Mytilus edulis: one gene and its partner. The protein of the gene in region 1 binds, or shares a complex with, the protein of each later gene. Links are inferred from orthologs where the notes say so. Each region holds a gene or a part of one and is shown on either strand. Other genes may lie near its edges.

Region 1 (12,548 bases):
GTAGTGGGTCTCATTGGGGTCTAAGCGTGATGCCGGATTGCCGATATTTGGTAAGCGTGACACGGGAAAGTCAAATTATTGTGTCGTGAAAACGGGAAATGTGGTCTAGCGGGACCCGGGAAATGACAAAACTAGAGGCTCTCAAGAGCCTGTGTCGCTCACCTGTTAATGTGTTTACTGATGTCGACCATCTTCATTGGTAGGCGGGGTCATTAGACACTTTAAAAAAAAAAATAGATACCCTAGTATTATGATTGTGGCCAAGTTTGGTTAAATTTGGCCAAGTCGTTTTAGAAAAGATTTTTATACAAGTTACAAAAATGACGAAAAGTTGTTCAATATTGACTATAAAGGGCAATAACTCCTTAAGGGGTCCTCTAACAATTTTGATCATGCTGACTTATTTGTAGATCTTACTTTGCTGAACATTATTGCTGTTTACAGTTTATCTCTATCTATAATAGTATTCAAGATAATAACCAAAAACTGCAAAATTTCCTTAAAATCACCAATTTTAGGGCAGCAACCCAACAACAGGTTGTCCGATTCAACTCAAAATTTGTGAGGGGATATATCTTATTCTGATGGACATTTAAATCTTGAAAGATTTGCCCTAAATGTCTTAGTTTCAAAGATATAAAGCAAAAACTGCATTTTACCACTATGTTCTAATTTTAGCCATGTCGGCCATTTTGTTTGGTAGGCTGGGTCATCGGACACATTTTCTAAACTATAAACCACAATGATAATTGTGGCTAAGTTTGGTTAAATTTGGCAAAGTAGTTTTGGAGAAGAAGATTTTTAGAAAAGTTACAAAAAATGACGAAAAATTGTTAAAAATTGACTATAAAGGGCAATAACTCCTTAAGGGGTCAACTGACAATTTTGGTCATGTTTATTTATTTGTAGGTCTTACTTTGCTGAACATTATTGCTGTTTACAGTTTATCTCTATCTATAATAGTATTCCAGATAATAACCAAAAACTGCAAAATTTCCTTAAAATAACCATTTCACAGGCAGCAACCCAACAACAGGTTGTCCTATTCGTCTGAAAATTTCTAAGCAGATAGATCTTGACCTGATCAACCATTTTACCCCTGTCAGATTTGCTCTAAATGCTTTGGTTTTTGAGTTATAAGCCAAAAACTGCAATTTACCCCTATGTTCTATTTTTAGCCATGGCGGCCATCTTGGTTGGTTTGACGGGTCAAGCCACACATTTTTTAAACTAGATACCCCAAGGATGATTGTGGCCAAGTTTGGTAGAATTTGGCCCAGTAGTTTCAGAGGAGAAGATTTTTGTAAAAGTTTACGGACGACGGACGACAGACGACGGACGACGGACGCAGGACGACGGACGCCAAGTGATGAGAAAAGCTCACTTGACCTTTCAGGTCAGGTGAGCTAAAAATGAGAATTGCTTATGTACATAGTGTAAGCGGGATAAGGGAATCTGACAAAACAGTAAGCGGGATCCGGGATCGGAACCCCCCAATGAGACCCCCTCAGTATCCAATGAAAAATTTGAATCAACAGTAGACAATTGATATATCAGTTGTAAACCTAATTTCAAATAATAGGACATACCTGATAATTCATCTGTCAGTTGTAAACCTAATTCATCTAAAACTTGAGAAACTATAGCATCACTGAAAGAGAAAACATTAAGAAATTGATAGTTTAGAACAACAATTTTAAGTAGTGTGTCCAAATAGGATCAGCATAATTTTTTGGTGAACAAAATACCAAAAGAATGTATGAGGCATGTATATATAAATTAAACCAGATGCTCCCCAGGGCGCAGCTTTATACGACTGCAGAGGTTGAACCCTGAACCATTGGGCCAAGTATGGACACAACATTCAAGCTGGATTCAGCTCTAAATTTGGATTGTGATTAAATAGTTGACACAGCATAGGTTTCTGACACAGAATGAATGTGGTCTAATGAACTTAAAATATTTTTTTTGCCTTTGAGTAATTCACTATGCTGTTGAATATTAACACTCTCAAAAAAATGCTTGAAGAAATTTTCTTTTTATTTATGAAATCTGAAATGAGAAAAATTGAACCCCCCCCCCCCATTTTTTTTCAAATCCCCCTTTCCCTTTTTTCCAAAACTGATCTCAATTCAAATTTCTAATGAAGTTTACAACAATAACTACTCATTTAAATACATCATAAAATATTAAAATGTAAAATAAAGTGCTTGTTATCACTGAATGGTAAAGATTGTTTTAATTTATCAGTTGGTAGTAAAAGTGAATATACATTGTATATTGTATAAAACAATGATTTAAGTTGATTCAACTACTATTCTGGACAAAGAAAGATAACTCCAATAGAAAATTTCTTGCTATTGCACAATATTGTGCAATTAGATATTTCTTGGTATTGCGCAATACTGTGCAATTGAAAATATTTGCTATTGCACAATACTGTGCAATTGAAGATTTCTTGCTATTGCGCAATACTGTGCAATTGAAAATTTCTTGCTATTGCACAATACTGTACAATTGAAAATTTCTTGCTATTGCACAATACTTAATATAATAATTTTGGATCCTGATTTGAACCAACTTGAAAACTGGGCCCATAATCAAAAAGTACATGTTTAGATTCAGCATATCAAAAAAGCCCAAGAATTCAATTTTTGTTAAAATCAAACTTAGTTTAATTTTGGACCCTTTGGACTTTAATGTAGACCAATTTGAAAACAGGAACAAAAATTAAGAATCTACATACACAGTTAGATTTGGCATACCAAAAAACCCCAATTATTCAATTTTTGATGAAATCAAACAAAGTTTAATTTTGGACCAACTTAAAAACTGGGCCAATAATCAAAAATCTACGTACATTTTTAGATTCAGCATATCAAAGAACCCCAAGGATTCATTTTTTTGTTAAAATCAAACTAAGTTTAATTTTGGACCCTTTGGACCTTAATGTAGACCAATTTGAAAACAGGACCAAAAATTAAGAATCTACATACACAGTTAGATTCGGCATATCAAAGAACCCCTATTATTCAATTTTTGATGAAATCAAACAAAGTTCAATTTTGGACCCTTTGGGCCCCTTATTCCTAAACTGTTGGGACCAAAACTCCCAAAATCAAACCCAACCTTCCTTTTATGGTCATAAACCTTGTGTTTAAATTTCATAGATTTCTATTTACTTATACTAAAGTTATAGTGCGAAAAACCAAGAATGCTTATTTGGGCCCCTTTTTGGCCCCTAATTCCTACACTGTTGGGACCTCAACTCCCAAAATCAATCCCAACCTTCCTTTTGTGGTCATAAACCTTGTGTCAAAATTTCATAGATTTCTATTAACTTAAACTAAAGTTATAGTGCGAAAACCAAGAAAATGCTTATTTGGGCCCTTTTTGGCCCCTTATTCCTAAAATGTTGGGACCAAAACTCCCAAAATCAATCCAAACCTTCCTTTTATGGTCATAAACCTTGTGTTTAAATTTCATAAAGTTAGAGAGCGAAAACTAAAAGTATTCGGACGACGACGACGCAGACAACGTCATACCAATATACGACATATATTTACAATTTTTGCGGTCTTATAAAAAGAGAAAAAAATGGAAATAACTTTATTTTACAAGCAGGCCAAAATCTAACTTGAATATTTTGTTTGTTCAATCCTGTGCTCCATGTTTTATTTGACCAAAGGTGTTGGAATTCAGATGATTTCATCAAGGGTTGAAAAATAATAAACAGTCAGCCCCATAAAATAGTAGCTTTTTTTTCCTGTTTTGGGTGTAAATGTCAACACTTCATAAAACTTGTAAGACGTGAAAGAAAAGCATAACAAACATGGTTACATTTCATTTCTTCACATGTTTATGCATAAACTAGAAAGGCTTTTACATAATTCTGCTGTACCTTGCCTTTCATTATTGGTAAGGCTAACATTGGTGTAATATAATTTTTTAGATTAAAAGCCTGAAAATTTCAAATAGCTTCAGGCAATAAAATCAATGTTTAAATTTTTTTATTACTTAAAAATAAACAGCTTTTTCATCAATATGTGCCATCAATGAATAATGTACTTTTAACTTTTAATTCCCATTTGAATGGTTTAACACTAGTAATTTTTGGGGCCCTTTATAGCTTGCTGTTCAGTGTGAGCCTAGGCTCCATGTTGAAGACCTTACCTTGACCTATAATGGTTTACTTTTATAAATTGTGACTTGTATGGAGAGTTGTCTCATTGGCACTCATACCACATCTTCCTATATCTTTTTAATGTCACCATACCTTTCATCTTCATCGTCTTCATCACCCATAGCATCGTCTATAGCATCATTCATCATTTCTTCTTTCATTTCCATTATTTCTGATTGTTTTTCAAACTCCATCATTATCTTCTGAATTTGTGGAAGCTTCAACTGCAGAATTAATACAACGTCTTAATTACTTTGGATGCAATTGAACTCACTAACACCTATGTTCATCCATGATTTCATAATTTATTTGCAATAATAAGGATATGTTATACATGTAAAACCCTTCGACTTTCATTTTGACTTTGTATCTCATTAATTTACATTTTTTAGAAAATAAGTAAGTTTACATATTTCCTTTCTTAATACTATTTAAAAGCAGAATAATACAAATACATGAACGTGGAAAATTAACAGAAAGCGTGAGGATACAAGAAATTCCTCTTGTAATTAAGGTAGTTTGTAATACCTAAAAACTTTTGAATATATTCCTAAATGGAAGTTTTTCTTAAACTTTGCTATTTCACTCAATGTAGGCCAGCAGTATTTATATAATAAACATTTTGAACAAAATTAAGGAGATCGGTGGTTATTTGTCAATGAGACAGCAACCCAATCATAAAACAACCAAAAGACTTCATGATCTAGAGGACAAGAGTCTTCAGCAATAGCTGTCTGTCTAAAAAGTATGTTAAGCACCAAACTTACAAAGTCTATTAAAGTTGTAATAAATATAAAACAACAATCAAAGATATGCTGACAACATTTACAGCCGATTGCATTGAGTGAAGTCATTATTAGGTATGGTAAACAACCCTCCTTTTAGAGTAGACTAGTCCGACAGATAACCATGGACCTATCTATCTGTATGTAGGACTAGACTACTTCGAAAGGAGGGTAGTATACCTTACCTAATATTAACTTACGGTTCAGCTAGCAAGCAAGCTAACCAAAGATATTACCTTTACCTACACACTCAATGCAATCGGCTTTAATTACATTTCACAAAAAACTATTGAGATATATGACATGAGACAACCACCAACATGGTCCCTGGTTTACCTGTTTGTTCATTGTTTGCATGGCTCTTGTAACCCCTTTCATTGCATTGGCCATAGCATTATTTGATTTTAATGTCTGTATTTTTAGTGACACAGCCTGTATGTTTGCTCTCATCAAAATAAACTTCTTCACATAACGTCTTGTTCGAACTAAATCTTTGGCCATAATCTTTACAGCATCCTAAAATAAAGAAACATATAAACATTTATTCCATGAAAATACAAATGGTTATTCTTTTTTCTAAAAAAAACCCAAAACATGGCATACATGTATGAGTAACAAAAATACCTTACAAATATTCTTTCTGAATTGGACTACCATAAAGATATTTTTGCTTCGCCTTGTTGAACCAGAAATATATGACTTAGTTTTGTAAAAGTGTTTTTGATTAGTGATTAAATTGAACCACAGGATTCACTTGTTTTATACATGTACTAACAATGTCGGTTTTCATGTTCAGTCAAATCTTTTGGGTAATTCTACCATTTATTCTTGCATTTATTTTTTCATGAGTATAAACAATTGAATTCTTGTCACACAGAATTGGAAATTTATAAATTGTGATGACACAAATGCATGCTAAGCAGAAAAATACAATGATAAATTAAATTATAGGTAAACAATGGTAAAGGAACATCATCTCCTACACCTGAGCAAGCACTATTTTGATCATATGTAAAATGTCTGAAAATTCTCTTCCTACAATTATTTCACAATTATGCTTGAAAAACAGTTAAACCATTGGAGAATGTGCACATCAACATTAAAGCAGGAAGTAAAATTAAGATGAACAAACCATCTGTCCTTGCTTTGCCATTTTCTTAATATCAGCAATAACTTTCTTCTCTTGTTGTTCCATTTTGGCTTTTTCTCTATCCAGATCTCTCATTGCTTTGGTTAATGCCCTTTGATTCTGTCGTAACATTTCCTCCGGAGTCTTTTTCTTTCCAAAGAGCCATTCTAAAGGCATGTTGACACTGGAAAACAAGTGAAAGTTATGCCTTGTAGATTAAACGCTACAAAATGAGAGTAAATGCAAAAAAGTATTAATTAGGCTTTTGTCAAGAAATTGTAAAGGAAATATGAACCATGATCACTATAAAAACACAGCACCATAGCTGAGTTCAAGCGGATACATTGTCATTGGTAGTGTTGTTTTATTATATTTTATGTTATAACATGCTCACTGGAATTAAAACTTAGTGTGGACAATGAGTCTTTACAGGGTATGAACGATATGTTTCATTGACAATACAATCTATGGATGCCATGGAAATATGGCGGTCACGTCTTGAAAGCTTAAATTAAAATGCTGCAATATTATTTTGATTTTGATCTTGGTCTCTTATCCTCATCCATGTCGACACATGTTTTTTTGTTTGTTTGTGCTATTAAGAATGATTGTGATGTCACAATTTCCATTGAAAAATATATAGTACGAAAATTACGAAATCATATGAGGTACGCAAACTGTCCATTGCTGACCATAAATATGAAGTTTATTGACATTATTGTCACTCTTGTCGTTTCTATGTTTCTGACCCTATCCTCAAATTATTATTCATCAGTTTGGTGAAATAAAAAAGGCTGTTATAAGTTTAATCCCCCATAAATATATCTTCAGAAAAATGCCTGTAACAACTCAAGAATTTGACAGTTCAGTTATAATTTGTTTGACTTCTATGGGAATCAGAATGACACCTCAATTTTGCAGTCAAAATTTTGTGTGTTTATCTTTTACTTCTTAACCATTTGTTCAACATTAATTTTACCTTCTAAATGTGAGTTGTAAGGAATGAGTGACTCTGAGTCAGGAAATTGCTTCAATGTGTATTTTGACAATGACGTCACGGAGAATGTGGTTAGTCTCTAAAACAAAATAAAAGTTATGTTTATGTTTTGCATTTTTGTTTATTTATTTCTCTTTAATGCAAAATCTGTCATTAAAAATATTCTGTAAATAATTCTGTAAAACTGAACAAATAATCTTTCAGTTCTAAAATTTCAATAAATTAATGAGTTCGAGAGTTTGATGGCGGCTATGCTGCAGTGCTGTGCAAAATTTGGGGTAAAATTTCACTTATTATGGTGAATTATGATGGAAGTTTCATTAATAACATAAACGAAATAATAGAAAAACATTCAACGTTTATATTTTTAGTATTTTAGTTGTCCTTTGTAGTGCATAAACCCGTATTTTCAAACCGTCAACGTCAGCTGATGGATTTGCGCAATACGTACTTAGTGCAATAAATTCATGCACCTGGTTTTAACAAATTCATAACCTTAAAATTACGCAATATATTTTTATTATTAGGCGAAAATTGTATATATATCTCACTTTATTTGAAAAATTTATTAAACAGTGTTTTATAGAACCAAATCCTCATGGAATGGGGATTGGTCTTTTATTTGGCTTCTTTTCAAATTAAATAAATCAATAGACTGTGAACTTAAAACATTCTACAATGATATATAGACTGACTTTACATTGTTTTGTTTGATAAACTGTGTTTTACGATTTAATTAAAGTATAATTTACATCCAGTTTAGTTAATACAAGGGACAGGTTCTCCTTCAGGCTACTTCCCATGGCATGGATCATACACCTTATCGCTATTTAGAAATATCTGCCTATAGACCTGAGAATCATACACCAATTGCTTTTCCATTGTGGCTTCAGATATATATTCTATTATGAGTTCAACATTTTACAGTAACCTTTGAGATGTCCAGGAATGGCGGAGAAATAGCTGTAAGGTGTATTCTCATCATCTTTCATGAAGACACTTGTTCCTAAAAATTTTGACGTGAAAAGGCAATTTTAATATTTGCTGTGATGTCTTTCTTTGGTGTCGTTATTATACCCCCGCTTTGAAAAAAAGGGGGGTATACTGTTTTACCTCTGTCTGTCCTTCCATCAGTCTGTCAGTCAGTCCGTCCGTCCCATGAATATTTTTTGTCACATTTTTCTCAGGAACTACACTACCAGGATTTCTGAAATTTGGTTTCAGGCTTGATATAAGACAGCTATACTGTGTGATGCGTTTTCAGATTCATCACTCGACAACTTCCTGTTTACCGAACACTTGTATCAGTTTTACACCTGATAGCCAAGTTGAAAATTTTTCGTCACATTTTTCTCAGGAACTGCACTACCAGGATTTCTGATATTTGGTTTCAGACTTGATATAAGTCAGCTATACCGTGTGATGCGTTTTCAGATTCATCACTCGACAACTTCCTGTTTACCGAACACTTACCATTTTATTTCGTCGCATTTTTCTCAGGAACTGTAATTCTAGGATTTCTGAAATTTGGTTTCAGGATTTATATAAGTCAGCTATACCGTGTGATGCGTTTTTAGATTCATCACTCAACAACTTCCTGTTTACCGAACACTACTATCATTTTACACATGATGGCCAAGTTGAAAATTTTCGTCGCATTTTTCTCAGGAACTACAATGCCAGGATTTCTGAAATTTGGTTTCAGGGTTTATATAAGTCAGCTATACTGTGTGATGCGTTTTCAGATTCATCACTCGGCAACTTCCTGTTTACCGAACACTTAACATTATCCACTTGCGGCGGGGGTATCATCAGTGAGCAGTTGCTCACAGTTACACTTGTTTTTTCTGTTGCGAATTGAATATCAATGAATGGTTTCCTGGATTTCTGACATTCCTTCACTTTAGAATAGTTTAGAATAATTGTTTACTCAGAACTCATTAAAATTTTACAGACTTGAATTTCCAGAACGTTTTGTATATTTTCTGGAAGTTCAGATCTGTCAAAATCAACACACAAATATTAATATTATACAAGATGACAAGTGCATTTCCAAAGTAATATAATAAAAGAAAAAAAATCACCTACCTTCTTGGTACCCAATTTTTTCTGTTAGGAGGCAGGAATCAAGTTTTTATGTATTTTGGTTAATATACATGTACACTGTACCATGTTTTGCACAAAACATCAATCTCGGCTGTTTAACATGTAAATCTTCTTTAGTAAATTGGTGAGTTCAGCTTGAAAATAATTAGGTTATACTTTTTTATTACCAAACAAATAAAACTTAATCAAATAACCAACCCAAAAAAAATCACATTCTTTTTTTTCATATTTTAGCCCATAGATGTAGTACCACCCAGCATCAGAAACTGAGAAAAAAACCAAAACAAACAAAGGAAGAAATAAACAACAAAAGCCCATAAAAGAACTTAACTGCACAGACTGCACTTCTGAGGACTAGGAAACTCCCAAGGAAACAAAACAACTATGTCAGCTGTAAAGAAGTTGAACAGTCCTCAGTGGAAGGCATGTATATTTTAAATTAGTGATTCATTTTGGTCCAAGAAAACATTTATCATCCACTGTGTCAATGTCACTGGCCTGCAGGTAGAGTTTTTATTCCCGATGGTATCACAAGCCCAGTAGTCAGCACTTCTGTGTTCACATGAATTATTGTTGATATCATTGGTGGTCATAATTATAAATTAACTGCTTACAAAACTTTGATTTTTTCAAATACATAGGACTTTCAACCTCGGGAATAGATTAGCAGTAGTTGGCAAAACTTTCAATCCTGGTATCTATGAAGAGTTTTTGATTTTTTGGATGAAAACAAATATAGTTCCTATTATTGAAAATGTGTTACTTGTACATTTTTTACATACAAATTCCAAATGTATAATGCATTTATATAAAATAATAAGTAGAATAGCAGAGGGTTGGGTGAAATTACATTTAAATTTTGGTTTGGAGTTTTAAAGTAAATTAAAGTGATTATTTGGTGGAGTTGAAGAAGATAAAAAAATTATGTCTGAAACTATCAAACTGAATTTTAATTCATATTATTGTCCATATTTTGAGTCTGAGTGGTAGAAAATATAAATTTTATAGTTTTGAAAAAATTGTCTTAAAAGTAGTACACTACACTGTTAAAAGAATTTCACTTTAAAATAAACACAAAAAAAACCCACAACATTTTTAAAACATGTCAAATCTACATGATCTATAACCTGTACAAGAAATTTGATAAAATATGTTTTTGTTATATCAGAATTTCCAGCCGTCCACACAAGATCCTGCAATCGTGTCATTTCAAAGAGCCACAGCACCAGTGATCAATTCACACATCAACAGCAATGGAGTAGGGAGAGAAACAGGATTTATTGAGAAGCTTTTGGTAAATATTTGAATTCATTTAAGGTGGTACCTAACACTACAGGAAGATAACTCTGTAAAATCAGCTAAACGTTTTAATTACGTTGTGTTGTTAAGAGAATATTAAGCTTCTCAATGATCAAAATAAGTGTTTGTCAAACTGCTATATAACCAGTGTAATTTTTCTGATAAAACGGTTGGTTCAAATTTTTTGAAATTTTTATATTTTTGTAAAAGGGTCAAAGTAAATACTTTGTCAAAATTTTAAGAAAATTAAACGACCCAAATTAATTTTAGTGCAAGTGTTGGGTACCACCTTAACAATAATTGATTGATACATTTATGGTGAAATGGTTTCGCATGGAAATAGAAAAAAAATCTTTGAGATCAAGCAATTTGTCAGTATATATAGTTTCATAATTGTGCTGTCCTGAACATGCATTAAATATTTACAGGTGGATGTTAAGCAACCAACAATCAATATTTAAATCATAATTGTGAATTAAATAAAACTTTAAAGGCTTTTATTCATAATATAATAAAAAAAAATGTTTAGTGTATGCCCTTATATTTTTCAGTTATTGGTTGTTTTGCCCGTGAGAGAGCTTTCACATGTTTAAATCTTTGCTTAATTGTTATTTGAATGGAGAGTTGTCTCATTGGCACTCACACCACATCTTCCTATATCTATTAATTTTGGAAGAAATTTTCAGATGAGGTTTTATAAACAGCTTGTAAAAAGTAAAATAACAAAAATACTGAACTCTGACAAATGTCTGGGGAAAATTCAAAACGGAAAGTCCCTAATCAAATGGCAAAATCAAATGTTAAAACATATCAAACGAATGGACAACAACTGTCATATTCCTTACTTGGTCCAGGCATTCTCAAATGTAGAAAATGGTGGATTGAACCTGGTTTTATAGCGCTAACATGTTCTGTTTTACTTTCAGCATTCCTATGGATTTATTCAGTGTTGTGAAAGGGATTCACGACTCTTCTTTCATTTTAGTGAATATGGAGATGATATTAACTTGGTTAAAATTGGAGGTTAGCACTTGTTTTAAACTTTATTATAATTCATCACACTGCTCGCTTTCAGTAATTATGCAGCTTTATTAAGTTCTGTTTTTCTTAGAAAATACTGTGAGGTTTTTATTAATGCAAATTAGTTAGTATGGCAATGATATGGACTTGCATTCTGATATCTGATACACATATCTATCTTAAAGCAGATTTTCCTATATTTTAATGTTTTTTCCATTCTTTAAAAATCACAATAAAGCACTTACTAATGTTTTTTTGAATGCACAGAACTTGATCTGACTTCGGATTTAAAAAAAGACACAGTGTACTGTGTTCCTTCTGTGAAGTTTATGCTAGACATTTACTGTAAATAAAATATTTAAAAGCCTAAGTCGATGCTGTATGATTGCCAATGAGACAACCTTTTATTACAAACCACATGACATGAACAAAATATGAAACAATTCAAATGTGAACACATAAGACCTGCCTTAGCCCATATTCACGACGACTTGATTTATGATTAGCAATACACAAAAAACAAGAATAGTTAACAGTATCCAATGACAACCTCTGAATGAATTTGAACAGGCATGTACAGAATATTTAATTGTTTTCCTATTGAAACATTAATTCTAAAATGTCTTTGAAATCACATGGTCACCATAGCTATTATTTGATAGGACAAACATATATATATATATATTTTGATAAATAAAATCGTTACTATTAACGATAACAATTCTGTCTGATGAACCGCTGGAGATGCGGTGAAAGCGCTAACAGAAACAATGTTCGATTTATGATGTGATTTTTTGTGTTTTTTACTTTTAAATTATATATATATATATATATATAATGATATAATAACTTTCCTATATAACAGACCCGGTAGAGTTCCAGATGACCTATGACCGTAGGACTGGTAAACCGGTAGCAAGCCATATTGTATTGTTAAATTCTGGAAGTCAATCTTATGAAGTTTTGAGTGAGGAGAAGTTTACAGGATCTATTGCACAAGAAGCCAAGCCAACAAAGAACAAAAATGTA
Region 2 (12,313 bases), on another chromosome or scaffold:
TCCATTATACTGGACTACCGATATTAGCTATCACCCATTGCCTATTATTTTTTGTTTAAATCACCACCAACTTAAAATGTGTTCAATTTGCCTTTCCCTCTTTATCCACCCGTCCATCACACTTCAGTTTCAGTTTAGAAATGCATTGACCAAATAATTCTATTATTGGTTTGTTAATATTATGTTACGGGTCAATTTTGTGATTCAAGCTGGTGGAATAACATCTCAGACGGATGTGTGCCATAAGAAATTACGAATTGTCTTACGTTTGTTAGGGCCATATATATCTTGCCTTTCCATAAGCCAGGTTGGCCCGGCTTTTGCAATCCCATGAAGTTCATCACCTGTCAACCTTAAACCAGTTGCTCCACAGAGCACACCTTTATACGACCGCAGAGTCCGAATCCTGAACAGTATGGACACAACATTAAACCTTGATACAACTCTGAATTTGGATTGCGAATAGTTGACACAACATAGTTTTCTGACACAGAATGAATGTGGTCTAAGAACTTAAACTTACCTATTATGGTCCAATATCCCAATTCTAAATACATGGTTAGATTCATCATATCAAAGAACCACAAGAATTCATTTTTTGTTAAAATCAAAGTAAATTTAATTTTGGACCCTTTAGACCTTAATGTAGACCAATTTGAAAACGGGACCAAAAATTAAGAATATGCATTCACAGTTCAGATTCGGCATACTAGTATTTAAGAACCCCAATTATTCAAGTTTAATTTTGACCCTTTTGGTCCCTAATTACTAAACTGTTGGGACCAAAACTCCCAAAATCAATCCTAACCTTCCTTTATGGTCATAAACCTTGTGTTAAAATTTCATAGATTTCTATTTACATATACTAAAGTTATGGTGCGAAAACCAAGAAAATGCTTAATTGGGCCCCTTTTGGCCCCTAATTCCTAAACTTTTGGGACCAAAAACTCCCAAAATCCATCCCAACCTTTCGTTTGTGTTCTTAAACATTGTGTTTGAATTTCATATATTTCTATTTACTTATACTGAAGTTATTGTGTGAAAATCAAGAAAAATGTCTAAATGGGCCCTTTTTTGGCCCCTAATTCCTAAACTATTGGGACCAAAACTCTTAAAATCAATCCCAACCTTCTTTTTGTGGTAAATAACCGTGTGTATAAATTTCATAGATTTCTATTAACTTTAACTAAAGTTAAAGTGCGAAAACCAATGATTCTTCGGACGACGAAACGCAATTATCTTTTAAGTATCTACTAATGTATGCAACATTTAAACAAATCAACTTATACCCTCCCCCCCATTCTCCAAAGCCCCCCCCCCCCCCCCCCCAACCCTAATGTTTCATGACATATTACATTTATTGAACAATCTGAAGAAAAAATTCCAGACAAGACTGTGAGTGAAGCAAAGACTTTTTTGAACGCTTTATTTATATGTTTTTTGTACATAAATTTCTATTTATGCAGGTTTTTGGTGGATGATGCTATGGATAATATGTCTTTCCGTGGTAACAATTGAAGTCAACAACACTTAACGATTGCTATTTAAAGTTTTCGTTAGCTTTTATGTATTTTTCTTATCGGTTATGAAAAATTCAGGACATTTAAGCTCTTAAACTGCAATATTCTGCAAATGAAAACTCCGTTTCCAAGGAAAAAATCGGTTGCTATGGTGATAAAACTAAAAAAAATCCCACACATTTTTCTATTAAATTTGGTAAAGTAGTATCCAAACTTCATAACTACAGTGCTAACTATTCTGTACACATTTGCACTTTTCTGAAAAACACCAGAGAAAATGTGGTAATTCAGCAAAAATCCCAATTTCAGAAAAGTTGAAAATATGCATTTTTTCACAAAATTTTACCAAAAAATTACAAATTTGGCTGACATGCAATCTTCACTAAAATGAAGCTTAAACCAAGTTCTATCAATGTTATATATGAAAATTAATGAAAAATGCATGATTGTATTCATATTCAGGCTCTGAAATGTGGTGATTTCGCTGATTTTTGAAAGATTTTACAACGCTTAACAACCAAAAAATTGTGTGTCTGTTACCATGGCAACCACTCATATTTTCCCACTCAAAATTATTTTTTAAGCGTTTTTCACGTATTGCTTCTACTAGGCCAAATATAGATAAAATCTGAAACCCCCCATGTATCACATGTATATGGCACACTGCCTGGTTCTTATAAAGAGCTGTACTTAACACTATATTAATGAAACCCGTTGGATATAAGATATGTGAACGGATTGATAAAAAGTTCCAGGTTAGGGTGGGGTTGACGCCAACAAACTAGTTTAGCTCCGCCACATTCTGTATCATGCGCCTGTCCTAAGTCAGGAACCTGTAAATGACCTTTAGTTTTCTGGTTTGAATTTCTTTTAACATGACATTTCGGGGCCTTTTATAGCTGACTATGTGGTATGGGCTTTGCTCATTGTTGAATGTCTTACAGTTATTAAATTATGCATCATTTGGTCTATTGTAGTGATTTGTCTCATTGGAAATCATGTCACATCTTCTTTTTATATCAACTGTAAAGGTTAAAAATGTATATACAAAGACAAATAAAAGGAACATCATAGCAGGTATTTAAGATGATAAATCAGCCTAGAATACTGACTTCAAGATCTAGACCATCATGTATTGTTTATGAAGTTGATACGGAATATCTATCAACAAGTTGAAGGCTTTGGTTTCGTCCAATGAACTTTTTTCGATAAAGCACGATACATTCTTTGACATAATCCTGGTTTGTCAGCTTTGTGCTCATGCACTTGTGACGTTTTATAAAGTCTAAGTAGCAGCTGCAAGCTCTTAAATACCAAACGAGTTGTGAAAGCTGGTGAAGCGCCGTTAAGATGTCAGTTGAAATACCTCACCCCTTGTATTTATTAGGTATATATATTTTTGTTAGTTGCGAATTGATATTTGTATCAAGTTGAACCAATTCTTTCAATCTGTCTTACGATCAGAAGAAAAGTACAAATAACACATCATAGTCATAAAATTTTAGTCTGGGCAACACAGACACCACTCAATAAAATTGAGAATGGAAATGGGCAACAACCCGACCATAGAGCAGACAACAGCCGAAGGTAACTAATGGGTCTTCAATGTAGCTGGCCCCTATACAACTATGCATACTATTTCAGTGATAATGGACGTCATACTAAACTCCGAATTATACAAAAGAAACTAAAATTAAAAATGATACTAGACTAACAAAGGCCAGAGGTTACTGACTTGGGACAGGCGCAAAATTGCGGCGGGGTTAAACATGTTTTTTTTTGGAGATCTCATCTATCGTCTATATACCTCTAGCCAATGTAGAAAAACAAACGCACAACAATAAAACCGGAATGAAAACCATTGAAAATTATAAGATTTTTTGGAAATTAACACTACACAGTAAGCCATCTTGCAACCTTTCATAATTTTCATTAAAATTAAAAAATATATCCATAAATTCTTAAAGGAACCACAAAAATAGTCTAAGCCTTTTATTGAGTAATGAAATGCTACCCTTCCAAACCGATGTAAACAAATGCCAGTTCCAAGCCTTCTTTACATTTTCAAGTGAGAGGTTAAGCAAGCTATAAGTCATACAAGGCCAGGTTTAATCCACATAAAAAAATGCCGGTACCAAGTCAGGAATATGACAGTTGTCATGAAAGGTTGGCCCAAAAGGAGGGTGGAGGTGCCGGGTCCATTATGTTGGAAACATTTGTTTGATTACATAGGGAATCACAGAGGCATGGCTGGAGCAGCCCACCCTTAGGAAAGTCAGTGGGTACCCCTTATAAAAAGTTCCGGATTCGCCTGGTTGTTGTGATATCCATTCCTTTGGTGTGTTTCAGCTTTTGATTTTGCCGTTTGATGAGGGGGCAATAGGGTTAACAACACCTCAATTTTGACAAAAATAATTAACAAAAAATTTAAAATGCTGAGTACAGTTAACACCAGCTTTAATCTACACTTTTTTCCCAAATAAACACAAAAGCAATGAAAAGGGGAAATGCACACCTTCAATGAGTTCAGAACCACTGTACAAAGTGGCAGAAATGCAAAGACCTAATGAATCTTTAATAAAGATGATAAAGTTTCAGGTTGCACACAACTACCATTTCTTTTATGCTGGACACATGAACAGACAATTGAACGGATCGAAAGGCAGACGGAGTGCTAGAAAAATGACTATACGCAGTCATGAAAGGCCTCACCAGCCATGCATATTCCAATTTTTCAGACATGAATTATCGATTCTCTGGTTATGTGTATTTTTGTGTTTACGTTTTATTTCAATCAGTTGAAGCAAACCTTGGTAATCGTGCAACGTATGAAAGTGTGACAGACAGACAGAGTTATTACAATAAGGTCTAACCATTATGGTTGGGACCCTAATAAATTATGGGTACATATCGGTGTATTCATACGACTCGTAGCTTATAAGCTTTTATAAAAATGAATTGAAAAGATTACTGATTTTTATTGCAAATAATTAAAATCAATGTATAAATCACCAAGTACCCTGTAAGGTGTCACAAGATTCTTCCATCTAAACGTCCCAAGAACTTATAGCTTATATAGAAAAAGACTTTTGTCCATCTTCACATTTCTGAAGGTAGCAAGTTTGGCATCAATTTGAGAACCAAGTCCTGATGTGTCTGCCTCTTCTAACAGGTCTCACTGTTCAATTATTTTTCGAATTGCAAATTCAAACAGTACAGTTTATTTTTCCGACACAACTCCATTACGGTGCTCTGGGTCAATGTAACTTATCACACTTTCTGTATCATCTTGAATGATTTTATCTTGGGACTGACCAGGGTTTTAGCTGGGTGTGAAGTGGCCCCTGCTGTTAACTTTGGATCAATTATTAATAGGAGACAGAAATGAACTACATGGGACCCGGTTAGAAGTATAGGGGGAGCGTTGATATGTTAACAATTTTGTGGAACCTCAGCCATATATACCTCTTGATTTTTTTGTCAATTTTGATTCGTTTCGGACTTTATTGTAGTGAAGTCCATTTTATATGAACTAGTTACCCGGGTATTCCCTTCTTGCTTGAATTTAAAATGATTGCTCTCTTAAAATCAGCTTCTGGCGTAGGATTCTCTCGTTGTGTTGAAGACTCGTTTTAGTTTTGCCATGGGCTGTTTTCTGACTCTTTTGGCGGGTTGTTGCTTCTGAGACATTCCCCCGATTTCCATTCTCAATTTTATCAAGGATTACTATAAATCTCAAAGATCTCCAAATTAAGACAGTACTTAACATATTAGAGGGGGGATAGGAGGGGTCCTGATCCCGAAATCCCGGAGTTAAAAACACCGCGAAATCCCGAAATCCCGGGCTTAAAAACATGAAATCCCGAGGTCCCGAAATTCGAAAAAAAGAATTCCCGGATCCCGAAAGGGTCAATCCCGAAATCCCCAGCTTAAAAACACCCGATCCCGGAGTCCCGATAAAGGTCCTATCCCCCCTATATTAGTCCAAATAATTATGACTTCTTGAAAGGATAAAAATTATATTTAATGTGATTAGTTTGAATCTTAACTTTGACATTCTTGTAAATAACAGTGAAGATCAGTTCACAGAGACAAATTATGTCAAAAACAGTGAACACTTTAACAGTTTAAGTGTCAAGTAACATATTTATAACAGGAGTCCCATTTTCAATAAAAAAAGCAGAACAGATAACAGACAGTGGGTTAGAAACAGTTAACTATTCAATTTTATCTCAAATAACCGCAGTTAACAACACCTTAAAAAAGGTCAAAACAGGTTAACATAAAAAGGTATTACCCTCCTTTTTGATTAGCCCATACACGTAGCCAGGGGAGGGGGATTCGGACGACCCTCACCCTTGAAAACAAATAAGTTATAGTTATTGACCAAGCAAGTCGGTATATAGAATTTAATCTGCACAGCTCAGGTGACCCTTATCCCGAACGACGTTTTAGATGTGGACGATTTTTTTTTATTTAATAAGTGACGATTAAGACTTTGACAATTTGAGTACCTTCAAATCGTTGTATGAAGAAAAAAAATCATAACTGAAAGGGTTATTGAGTTTAGGTTAATTGCTTTTGAATATCTTTCCATCAATGATGTGCTTTAAATAATAGAGAAAGATAAACCGAGGAAGATGTTATATTACCTAAATTTTAAATGTTGAATAAACAGAAAATACGTTTTTCTTTCCAATCTTTTCCTCCCCCTCCCCCAAATTTCTTTGTATCTACTGTATTAATTTTTAAGACACGTCCATCTAAATGAAGTCTGATTGATCTCCAGCTAGGAATAGATATTGAAAAAGTCGTTATATTAAATTCCATTGAGTCTAAAACTAATCCAAATCAGATTTCTTTTATTCGGATATTCTTAGATTCATTTCGAATTCTTTTTTGGCGGAAATGACCAAACATTGTTTTAACTCTCTTTCTGACTTTAAAACACTGATTTAAGATTTATGTTTTACGCAAAATATAATAAAAATTTTATGTTCAAGCTAAGATGAAAAAAAAAAGGAATGAGAAACCTTTCTTTTTTCCTATTTTGAAACTACGATGTTTGTACAAAGTTAAATTTTGTCGCAATTTCAAGGCAGAAGTCGGATTCGGGGGTGGGGACGAACATGTCGTTCACCCTAGGATTCACGGGACAAAGTATCGTGTTTTGCCTTAAAATCGTCAATATTGTTTTAGTCTCGCTACACTCGGTGATATATTTTTTTAATTTGATAGAATAACGCCCCTGTCAACATCTAGGAACCGCCCCTAAAGGTAAAAATATATTTGAACTGTGCAGTATATCTGAGGTAGTTAATGCACACCTTTGCTGTGCATTATCCAGATTATAGTACAGTAAGAACAAAGAGATTTTGCCCATGTCATGTGTTAAGCACTGTTAAAGTCAACGTTCTGTTCGAATTGTGACTGTTAAAGTTGAGTTCGCGAGTCCAAATAATCCCCCTTTGGAAATTCCTGGCTGTAGACTTTCCGTTTTTAATTTTCCATGGAGTTTAGCATTTTTGTGATTTTTTTTATTCCAGTTCTTGCAGATTAAAAAAAAAAACCAGTTAAAACCAAGTTTAAAGATCTTTAAAAAAAACTTTTTTTTTACTTCTAATTTTGCAATTTTGCATTGATTCATGTTCCACTTATTACATAATGTATGTCAACATCTAACAACTCCCCACGGTAAATGTTGGTGGTCGATTAACTCATTGACCACAAACAATAGGGACCAGGATGAAAAGATTGACATGCTATTAAAAATGTTAAATAAAATTGCGTCATATACATGACCGTAAAACACGTGGATTAAAAGGGAGATAACTCTAATGAATCGGCGTAGTAATATTACACGTCACAATTTGAAAAAAAAATTGGTGGAAATTCTTTGGAAATTTTCCTTCAATAAAGAATAATTCTTCATACTGAGTACAAAAATAAAAGTTTACGTTTCGAAAATTATTGAAAGAGTAGAAAATGATAACTTGCCAGTGGTTTAATGATATCGATTTCGTTTCGATATTCTTGGATTATTTGAGTGTAGGATTATCCGGTTTCAAATGATATATAGATCGCGGCAATTTACCTCTCCTATCCCTCTTCTCAAATCGTGAGGTTGCCGTGTGTTGTGTGCGAAAAGTTGTCTCACACAACACTTAAACTGGAAGAAATTAAGCTAAAAAACTTTTAAAAAATACAAAAAAATTGAAAAAGTAACAAAACTATTAAAAAAACTACTGAAACGGTAGGTTTGTGATAGAACAGAAGCGAAAACAACTTATTTCTTCTAGCAATCAACAGCGCCATATTTTAACCTCTGAAAATGACGACTAATATCAATCCGGCTGGAGCAAGTTACCCAATGGCTTCATTGTACGTAGGAGATCTTCACCCAGATGTCACCGAAGCTATGTTGTTTGAGAAATTTTCAACAGCAGGTCCAGTCCTCAGTATCCGTGTCTGTAGAGATATGATCACAAGACGTTCACTTGGTTATGCTTATGTCAACTTTCAGCAGCCAGCAGATGGTAAGATATCCAAAGTTGTATATCTGATAACACATTTACATTTCCATGTATTCAAATTGTGATCATTCATACATTTCAATTTCACAGTCCTTAGACCAGACACATGACAGATTGTCAGTGGCAATTAAGTCAATGTACCTCCGACCTACATTTTTTGTACTCTCACATGTTTAAAAAAAAAAGTAGAATTAAAATTCAAACCCACTTAAACAATACCATTATCACAAACATAAGTCTCAAGTTAAGGTGGTCCAATTGCCCTGATGAGTTAATGCCGTATTCAGACAAGTAAAAACATCATCTTGGTTGTCAGATCAAGCTAGAAGTGTTACATGATTAAAATTTCACAAAATCAATAGTGTCTGCTGTTTAGTACATAGATAACTAGGTGATGACACTGCACGGTCTTAACCCCTTCAAATCACGAATGCATATTTTTCGTTTTTTGTTCGCACTGAATCTTCCATTTTTCCAAAAATAAATTATGTTTAAAAACACTGGCCAATCAGCTGCTGTGGCGTTGCTTTGTCATTATTGTTTTCATTCAAGACACCACTTAGGCCTTTCCGACCAACATATTTTTCCAACTGACCGTTGGAAAGCGGACTTCTATTTTCGTTGTTCTAATTTGGAATTTTAAAGTTGGAAGTACATGTACCTTAAAAAAATATTTCATTGACAAACTGTTTTCACTAACAAGAATAAATTTATATGTCATGTGTACGTACAAAATGTAAAATTCAAGGTTTTTATAAACTTGTAAAAACTAATACAAATGTACATGTTATCAGGTTTGATTGTGAATGTCTTTTCTGAAATTGAATCTTGACACAAAATATGCAGGCTGAACATACTCGTGTATCTTTTGCAGCTGAGAGAGCTCTTGACACAATGAACTTTGACACCATCAAAGGTCGACCAATAAGAATCATGTGGTCACAAAGAGATCCATCTCTGAGAAAATCTGGTGTTGGCAACGTATTCATCAAGAATCTTGACAAAAGCATTGACAATAAGGCATTATACGATACATTCTCTGCCTTTGGAAATATTTTATCCTGTAAGGTAAGAAAACTGTTAAGTAATGGATTTTATTTTTGTTGACAGGTGAGAGTAAAAAAATTATGTTGTGAAAATTGAAGGCAGGGGCGGATTCAGGAATTTGGAAAGGGGGATGCGAAGTTGTTAAAGATTGCCAAGCGGAGCGAGTCGAAAAAATTTTGGGATCTTTTTTTCCGTTAAAAAACATGAAATAAGGAGTATAAAAAATTGTCCAACCCTTACACTTTACCGCTACTATAGAATATACATGTACATGCCCCACGTCAGGAACCGTTTAAAAAGTGCATTTTACACTGTTTTCTCCCTGTTAATTGTCTATCATAAAGATAATGATAGTATATGGATTCAAAGCTACGTACTTATATATTTGATGTGGGACTTGTCAGTAAAAAATAAACATGAAACACTCCGGGCTATTTGATGAAATTAACAATTCTACCGACACAAGTTAAAATAGTCAAACAAGCAATCTTTATCCAAATGTTTGGTTGATATATTTCACCCAACAAAATTAAGGGAAGTGAGGGGTTCCAAAATAAACCAAAGGTTACAAATGAGTCTGAAATGATAACTAATTTATGAATGACGGTCGACAAATTTAGACATAAAGGCCTCACTCAGCAAGCAGATTGCAGTCTGGTCTTGAAAGTATTCAATATATCAGCTCGGCTAAACAGACGTTCAGGTCAGACATGCAAACCCTGACCTAAAAAAAATACATTTTTATTCATTATGTTCATTTAATGCTAAATAATTCTGTTGGAAATTTCCATTTCTAATATCTCACAAAAGTTGACAAGATTATTGTTTTCAGTTCAGATACGACCAGAATTCTTATTTAATTCACAAATCAGAGTCAATTTTTTTTCTCTCAAATACCTTGGACTGCCTCCTCATATCTGATGGTTTGTACCTTCGACTTTAAATCTATATATAGAGCTTATATTGACTGGGGAACATAATTTAGCTATCATGTCATTTTAAAATAGGCTTGGGCATTTGGGATTAAGCATGTTTTCGTAGGTAAATAATATTGCTGTGGATTTTTTTTTGAGTGTGTGTTAGAGTATTACTTTCTGTTTGGTTGAATTGTGAAACAGAAGTCACAACGTTCTTGCTCAATCCTGCGCCGCTTTGAAGGTATCATGGTTGTCATTCTTAGCTTTTAAAGCAATGTGTAACTGTAATTTGAATTTCAAAATGACCGAGTGACGTTTTATTTTTTATTTTTGACACAGCAGTGAACTCCACCATCATGATCATAGCAAATAACATGACTTTGACATGATTAGTAATTATCCGAGACAAATATCTTTATAAGTAAAGAATTGTCGCTTGAAAATCAAATACACGGGAAATGGCAAAGTTCACGAAGTCTAGTCTAATTAATCATTTTACAAAAAAAAAAAGCAAAGGAAGGGGGGGGGGGTGCCCTCTATGCCCCCCTCTTGATCCACCATTTCAATAGGTGGGTATCTCCACAGATAAAAATGACTAAGAACCATGTTACATGAACACAAAAAAAATTAAAATGAAAAAATAAGGCCGTCTAAATATAAAGATCTTTGTAAAATAAAGGAATTTATCACAGGAATTTATCACAGGCATTTGTTTCTGTCAAAAATTTTCAATGTGTTTGCTTCAACCGATATTTATTAACTTTCCCTTGCATTTTTCATGCATAGTTAAACATACACCAGTTTGTGGGTAATTGATTTATCTCTGCAACAAAACATGGTTCATGTCCCTTGAGAAAACCCCTCAAACAGAGTAACACACTTATGTCGAAAATTATTGACCTTTTCCAGACCATTGAATTTTTAATTCCAAAACTTCTGGTTAACTTCAGAAGTTTATAATATCACCTTGCAACCCCATTGGTCACATTTTCTAGTTACTGGTAACTAGTATAATTAAACAGGTAACCAGATTAATTTGACTAATCAGATTGCACAATCATATTAACTTCCTAAGTTGACCAGAAGTTTTGGAGTTACAAATTCAATTTTCTCGAAAAAGGTCAATAATTGAATAACTTTCGTTATACATGCGTTATTCTGTTACTATATGTAAGTTTTGGAACATTTATTTTTAGATTGTCTGTGACGAGCATGGATCACGTGGATACGGATTTGTACATTTTGAGACTGAGGAAGCCGCCAGAAATGCTATTGAAAAAGTAAACGGCATGTTGTTGAATGGAAAGAAAGTGTAAGTTTTCTTTGTAATCATTGGTTGTGTATAGAGTATATAAATGCGAAAATTAAAAGCTCAGTTTGAAAAAGTTGAAAACTTGTGCTTTTGATTTCTTCATTATTATGCCCCTTTGTACTTGTACATAGGGCCAATTAAAATTAAATGGTAGATTTTCATCCCCGCCCGCCCCTTTGAAATCTTCCCGCCCCGATTTTTTTTATTTTTGAAAAAAATACGATTTCCGGATTTTGTTCATTTCCGATACCAGTATAAACCGTCGATAATTTCGTTTCATCTAAAACTTCCTGTTTCAGATTTCGGTTTTCGTATTTCTTAGCGTATTCTTACTGAATGATTCAGTCGATATATTCTGCTGATCTTTGATGACAACATCATTTACCGAGAATAGAGATTGATTACGAGAAGGGCTTGAAATATTCGGGTTACAAGTAATACGCTGTGCCCAAGAACGCAAATCGCCGTATGTCACACATGTTTGTGAGTAAAACAACTTGGATTTATTTTATTAAATGACTTTGTGTGAAGAAATTTGGACTGTGAATAAAACACAAAAACGTTAGAATCGTTGAACACATTTGACTGGAATAAAGAAATTAGCACAAGCATGAACCTTTTAGATTGGTGACCGTACATTGAGTTAAACAAATCGACAAACATATGCATTTTTAATTTATTAATTGATAGCAAGCTCTTAGATTTAGATTTAGCCTTAGTTTCGTTTTTTTGCAGAAATAGAGAAAACATCCTCTGTCCCAATACCCACGATAGAGTCATTAAACAACTTTATTTTCTACATTGTAATTATATTTGCATCTTGCATATTAAGGACCAATCCTATTATTTAAACACTGTTTGAGTTTTCATTTTATTCTGTACTTATGGTACTTGTGTTGCATACCAATGCATTTGCTTCATTTTATTAGGACAACAAAACATTGCAGAGAAAGCAAAATACATTTGATGTAGGTAGTCCAACTG

What was found.
Region 2: the proteins of cold shock domain-containing protein E1-like (region 1) and polyadenylate-binding protein 1-like are in contact, whole or in part, in a crystal structure (PDB 7ZHR), measured with the Drosophila melanogaster proteins. The link is inferred for Mytilus edulis from reciprocal best matches to the Drosophila melanogaster genes Unr and pAbp. Residues at the interface, in NP_648226.2 of Drosophila melanogaster: Leu843, Glu844, Thr845, Thr846, His847, Asn848, Gly849, Val850, Glu870, Ile871, Leu872, Asp873, Glu874, Thr878, Val879, Ile880, Ser881, His883, Leu902, Ile907, Asp908; in NP_476667.1 of Drosophila melanogaster: Asn184, Tyr186, Lys188, Ser211, Lys213, Met215, Phe225, Phe227, Ala229, Tyr255, Ala257, Arg258, Ala259, Gln260, Lys261.

What each region holds. Positions count from the first base shown.
Region 1 is NC_092353.1:68,476,114-68,488,661, reverse strand, and holds the start of cold shock domain-containing protein E1-like, read left to right. Parts: upstream 1-7,296; 5' UTR 7,297-7,372; intron 7,373-9,434; 5' UTR 9,435-9,584; coding exon 9,585-9,623; intron 9,624-10,368; coding exon 10,369-10,494; intron 10,495-11,425; coding exon 11,426-11,522; intron 11,523-12,384; coding exon 12,385-12,545; intron 12,546-12,548. Other genes in the region: charged multivesicular body protein 2a-like, read right to left, coding at 1,590-1,651, 4,277-4,407, 5,305-5,484, 6,101-6,281, 7,054-7,067. UniProt on the Drosophila melanogaster protein: RNA-binding protein that acts as a regulator of dosage compensation in both males and females.
Region 2 is NC_092355.1:9,891,003-9,903,315, reverse strand, and holds the start of polyadenylate-binding protein 1-like, read left to right. Parts: upstream 1-7,595; 5' UTR 7,596-7,851; coding exon 7,852-8,056; intron 8,057-8,927; coding exon 8,928-9,121; intron 9,122-11,213; coding exon 11,214-11,329; intron 11,330-12,313.